Tribolium castaneum: one gene and its partner. The protein of the gene in region 2 purifies or fractionates together with the protein of the main gene of each other region. This does not show direct contact. Links are inferred from orthologs where the notes say so. Each region holds a gene or a part of one and is shown on either strand. Other genes may lie near its edges.

What was found.
Region 1: the proteins of proteasome assembly chaperone 2 (region 2) and proteasome subunit beta type-7 purify together in Homo sapiens (affinity purification with mass spectrometry; 3 studies listed by BioGRID and IntAct, counting the BioPlex papers as one, with this or other methods). This does not show direct contact. The link is inferred for Tribolium castaneum from reciprocal best matches to the Homo sapiens genes PSMG2 and PSMB7.

Annotation. Positions count from the first base shown.
Region 1 is NC_087398.1:8,316,476-8,319,574, reverse strand, and holds proteasome subunit beta type-7, read left to right. Parts: upstream 1-1,363; 5' UTR 1,364-1,464; coding exon 1,465-1,523; intron 1,524-1,608; coding exon 1,609-1,788; intron 1,789-1,839; coding exon 1,840-2,428; 3' UTR 2,429-2,491; downstream 2,492-3,099. Other genes in the region: uncharacterized protein LOC659493, read left to right, coding at 774-856; rt (protein O-mannosyltransferase 1), read right to left, coding at 2,545-3,033. UniProt on the Homo sapiens protein: Component of the 20S core proteasome complex involved in the proteolytic degradation of most intracellular proteins. This complex plays numerous essential roles within the cell by associating with different regulatory particles.
Region 2 is NC_087394.1:29,413,000-29,415,946, reverse strand, and holds proteasome assembly chaperone 2, read right to left. Parts: upstream 1,444-2,947; 5' UTR 1,343-1,443; coding exon 617-1,342; 3' UTR 557-616; downstream 1-556. Other genes in the region: zinc finger protein OZF, read right to left, coding at 1-224, 274-408; uncharacterized protein LOC100142369, read left to right, coding at 2,264-2,477, 2,525-2,658, 2,707-2,898. UniProt on the Homo sapiens protein: Chaperone protein which promotes assembly of the 20S proteasome as part of a heterodimer with PSMG1.

The sequences.
Region 1 (3,099 bases), on a different chromosome or scaffold from region 2:
CTTACTAATTACCCTGAGGCTGGTATTTTCGGTTTAGTTTCAAAAATGTGTAATTATGCGCTTTTATTGATTTGCCATTCAAAATCTAGTGGAGGTGGGGAACAAAATCATTCATCTCAAAGAAAAAGTAATGATTTGGTTCCTGACCCAGAAACAAACATGCACAAAAAGTCTTACTATAATGATAGAAATTTCTATTATGTACTTAAAAATCACATAAATGCTATTGTAAAGAGTTTATATTTTATATATTTACCAATATTAGAGACTGTTACATTATAGATTTTTAAAACTGTTACTTATGTACTTTATGCTAGTTTTAGAACCGCATAGAAATACATTCCGTCCAAGATGATCTGTGTTTACATATTTTTAAAAATAAAACAATCATGTTTCATATTAGACATTTTTTCTGTTTTCCTCTTATTATTATATTACACCAAGTACTAACCATTTTTCATTACAATTTAAAACAGGTAACACCAGGTAAGAATTAATTTTCATTATTGTATGAATCTAATAATGCTTTCACCGCACTTAAACAATTGTCGCTTCCGTGCTGTAGTGCGATAATGCTTATGCTTTTTTGGCTGCTAACTGTTGGTTTCATTGCATTCTCAAAAAATGTTAATCAGAAGATTGTGTAAAGCATGAACTCATCGTCACAAACGTGACAAGAATTATAATGCATTAAAGACTTAAAAAATTACTTCCCTTTAATGTTTTAAGTGTTTACTAATTATCCCCCCAATTCTTACATTTTTATTTTACAGGACCATGCTTGATTTGCTTCTACATGTCAGATCGTAATGTTCAGGCTCACACTGACGTTAATCCAATGCATTACCCCCTGTAATTCACACTTTCATAAAATCCGTATTGTTACACTGGTTTTTGGTCAAATAAGTTAAAGTATTGTACTATTATTTTATTAAAAATATAGATAACAACGCAATACTGATTATTCTCAACTCCTTAAAGCATTTGCCGACGTTTCCCTAATGGTGGCAATTTGTGAAGCAATATCTTTTTGCAATGCCTCCATTTCATGTTTTAAATTGTTGAGTATGTTAGAACTTTTTTCCAAGTCCTGCGTACCTTTTAGGAACTCCTCGATTCTCTCAAACTTGGTCTCTCTGGGGGGCCTCTCATCCAGACACCAGTACAGCTTACTCCTCTGGTCTTCGACCCTATAAACGGCCTCGATGTCATCAATTACCTGCTGCCGGGTCATGGAGAATTTATTTCTTTGTGGAACTGTGCTACTTCTAAACATTTTTATGATTTTAAGTAGAACAAAACAACGTGCCCCCTTATCACGTGACTTACGTCATTTTGTGCCATGTGACATGCCAACACCATTTTTGGTGCTGTTTTCACCGACATCCAAGTGACAGCTAAAATCCCTAGAATTAAAATTTACGAATCATTTTGCCGACTTGTCTCCCATAAACAAAGCGTAAAATGTCGGTTTTGTGCCCCGAAATTGCGCCCCCAGGTTTTTCATTCGCCAACTGCAAGCGGTAAGTTTACAAAAACGTAATAGTTCCGCTTGTTTGTGAAATTGTGACCCGTGTTTTGCCTTGTCATCAACATAACCTCTTCCAGAAATGCTACCCTCGAAAGTAAAGGCTTTCCGGTGCCCAAAGCCACCAAAACCGGGACCACAATTGTGGGAATCACTTACAAAGACGGGGTGATTCTGGGGGCTGACACCCGAGCCACAGAAGACACCACCGTGTCGGATAAAAACTGCGAAAAAATCCACTACCTCGCCTCCAATATGTAGTAAGTGTTGTTAACTCGACCACCGACGAGGGTTAAATTAATTAAACGTAGTTGTTGCGGGGCTGGGACTGCGGCCGACACGGAACAAACCACCCAAATGATTTCCTCGCAACTCGAGCTGCACCGTTTGTTCACCAATCGAACCCCCCGAGTGGCCACCGCCAACCAAATGCTTAAACAGTACCTCTTCCGCTATCAGGGGTACATTGGCGCAGCCCTAGTTCTTGGGGGAGTGGACGTCACTGGGCCCCACTTGTATTCAATTTACCCGCACGGTTCCACAGATAAACTGCCGTACACTACCATGGGATCAGGCTCTCTTGCCGCAATGGCAGTGTTTGAGTCGCGCTGGAAGCCCGATTTGGACGAAGAGGAAGGGGTCAAGTTGGTACGGGATGCTATCGCCGCTGGTATTTTCAACGATTTGGGGTCGGGGTCTAACGTGGACGTGTGCATAATTCGGAAGGGGTCTGTTGATTATCGCCGCACTTACGACGAGGCCAACAAAAAGGGGGTCCGCCAGTCGTCCTACCAGTACCCCAAAGGGACCACTGCGGTTTTAAAAAGTAAAGTAATCAAGGTTGATGTGGTTGACGTTGCCGTTCATCCCATTGAGGCCGAACAGATGGACACGGCTTAAATCAATTAAATGTTTTTCACATAAATACATTTATTCAGTTCATAATAAAATATATAAAAATGATTAATTTGTTCAATATCAATATGAGTATCAAATTTGCTGTCATGGAACAATTGCTAATTTTTATGAACTATGAAGTCCCAAGTGTCTTTCCATCTCAGATCAATAATGTCATTTGTAGTTAACGGGGTTGTACCATAACACAATACTATAAATTTCATAAAAACGTAAAATATGCAACAAATCCATAAAAATATGAGTAATATAAAAATATACTTTATGACCCTAATTTTAAAAATATCACTAATTGTTGAATAAACGTGTTCAAGCAGGGCCGCTAATAGCAGCGTTTTGAACGTAAATGCGGGCAAATAGTGGTGTAGAAAGAGCGTCCGCTCCACGAAAAAATACGGTAGATAATGGAACAAATAGCCTGTAAAAAATAACTCTCCAATCAACTGAAATTGTTCCCATTTTTTCGTATCAAGGTCGTAACACTGTCTCCGTCGACGAAGAAGATAGAAGACAAGTAGAGTTGAGTAGGTGGCAAGGCCGGCACTTCCGGAATACCAGAGCAAGAGATTTCCAATTAGATGTATTTGCGCCTGTAATTAATCGTTATTACAAGCCAAGTGCTAAAGTCATTAATATTGGTTAGTAATAATAATAAT
Region 2 (2,947 bases):
ATAAATTCACTAGCGCCTTCTTCTTTAGTGCCAATTGTTTCTTCTTGAGTAGGCTCTTCAAAACTTAACGCAGAAGTGATTGCTTCCTTAAGCTTCATTATTATATTCTGGTTTTTTAATTTAGCGTCTGATGCTATTATCAATGTTCTAAATTCAATGCAACTGTTTAGTTTGTGGAGACACTCTTTACACACCGACTGTGGGAAATCATCTTCAGGAGAAATCTGCACAAAAGCATAGCAAATATAAAGGAAACTCACAGAAAAGAATTACTTTAACTTCTGGTGCAAAACTCATTACTGCATCGCAGATAATTTCATTACCTCGTCCAACAAAGCCAGATTCAAAAAGGTTGACAGAGGAGCCCGGTTCAGTTTTAATTAAACAAAAACGACACTTAAAATCCATTTTATCGCAAAAAACCTATCTTTTAAATAGTCGTAAATCTAAGGTTATGATTAAAGTTGTTGATGTTTTTGACTTGTCACCACTATGACGCCGCGAAAAACCCTAGCAAGTTTTAAATTTCTCTTCAAAAGTTAAAAAAACGAACTAATGATAATACTCAAAAAGTATATTTATGCAAAAAACAATTATAATAAATATATACACTTTTTTAATAAATCCCTAGAGGTGGAGGTCCCCCAAAGACACAATTCCACGAACTTGGAAATTTTATCTCCGTCACATTACACTTTGTAAAGCCGTTAACAAACTTGTTCAACACATTTATGCAAGCAATTGCGTCAGGTCTGTTGTCACCCTCTGACACGTATTTGATCAAAACTGTACACTCAAAATTACTCTCCAACACCTCAAATAACTTGACTGCAAACCCAGATCCGTGGACCAAGTATTTGCCGTTAAACTCCACTTCCTTCGGCTTCACGTTTAAGCTTTTCATCACATCGGTAATTTCCTGGTTACTGATGTAGTAGAATTTGTTGCTACTAACCACATGCAACTCGTAGTCAAAAGAACTTGCGAGAATTACAATGCTTTTGATTTTAAACTGCGTGAGGGAGTTTTTCAAGTCTGTGAAGAACTTGGTGGCGAGTTTCGCATTTATGGCTGAACGCAGTTGAATAAGGGCTACTTTTAAATCTTCCTTGATGTATAGTTCGCATGCTGTGCATATTTCGGGCCCGTCTGTTCGATAAGGGTCCGATCCCACGGAGGAAACGATGGCGGGGTGCCAGATAGTGGCCACTTTCTTGAAATTTAGGGATGTTATCAGCAAGTCGATTGTAAGTTGGGGCACATTCCCGACGGAAACACTGGGGATCAGTAAAGTGAAGCCCTCCAAGTTGGGTTTTTGGCTGAATTTAAATAATTCGGCCATAATTATGATGCTCACAAGCCACAAAAATGTTTATTTTGAATAGGAAAAGTAAGGTTAATGACAAGCAAATAATTTTTGACAGTTGACGCTTACAGGCACCTGCATTACCCCATGCGGCCCAAGTTCATTATCATTATTATTTATTTTAAAATTTGCACCCACAATCTTTAAATATTTTTGTTTTCATTTTATTTCTAATCGCTTTATGTAAGCACAAATGTCTTGATAAAAGTGCCTCCTAATATTGGAGGTATCACATGTCTGAGAAAAACAGTCGTGCCACACTTCTACCACCATTAATTGTAAAATTGATAATAAACCATCAATTAAACCATTAATGATCTAGAAACACTCTTATTTAATTCTAATAAATTTTTGAGGTCCTAATTTGTATTAGTTTTCTCCACATAATACAAGTTCATTCTTTAATTTCCCACCACACAAAAACAGCAATAGCAATAAGACTACTGTTGTACTTACCGTAGATACAGATTAAGGCCGTAGGTATAAATTGTGAAAAAATAATAAACACAAACCACAGACCACACACAGAGATTAGAGGTGACACAAACAAGACTTTTCCCACGTTTTAATTTGTGTTGGTTGGTTCCACTGTTCTCAAAACGGCCGGTACATTTCAACCTTGCATTCCAATATTCTCAAAATTTCTGAACTTTCAACATCCTCATCGTGGTACGAATGCAAAATTCGCAAATTATTTTGAGAGGAACGGAATACTTTGAAAATGTTTTAAATACATAATACCATGGGTTGGCAGCGCTCACAGCATGGCCGGTGAATCCTGCACTCCATTGGCCAGTTCAAATCTGGTACAGCCGCTCCACAATTTGTGGGCACCTAACGTTTTTTCTTGGCGGTAAAAACCACTCAAGTGATTTTCTTGCTTATTTTCGTGTAAAAATGTCTCATTTAATGAGAATTTTACGTGCCGATGAGCGCGAGCGCGCATCTCAAGACACCCGAGCCACCAGCACACCTCAGAGTGGGTCCCCCAATGTCTCTTCCCCAAGTATTTCCACCATTTCAAGGGGAGAAGAACCGATGGGAGATGAAAACAACAACGATAATACCACAAGTGGAACTATCGATTACGGAACATCATCTCCGTCCGAATGTAAAGTTTAAAACAAATATATAGTCATAAACATAACTGGTTTGTAGCTCCTTCAGAAGCTTCGATCATTAGAGATCGAACTGTAAAACCTCTCAAATGGGAGAATTTCTGGAGCGCCTTGAAACCAAAAAATGAAGAGAGCCTTTATTTTAAAATAATGACTCAACCTGACCAGTTAGAAGTAAAGGTAACAGTTTTTGTTACACTGACTACATTTTATCGCTTTTAGAGCATCGCAATTGAGCTGATGGACGCCTACAAGTCCAATAAAGAAACTGCTATTATTTCCATTCTCCAGCTTTTTGTCGACCTGAGTGGTTACAAAAAGTTATCAATTGGCGCAGTTTACGATTTTGAGCGGGAAAATGCAAGTCAAGTCGTCCAGCAAATGCAGTATGACTTACTGGAGGAAGAACTTAAAGTAAACTAGGCACAAAACCATCAGGAATTAATTCACTTATTATTTGTAG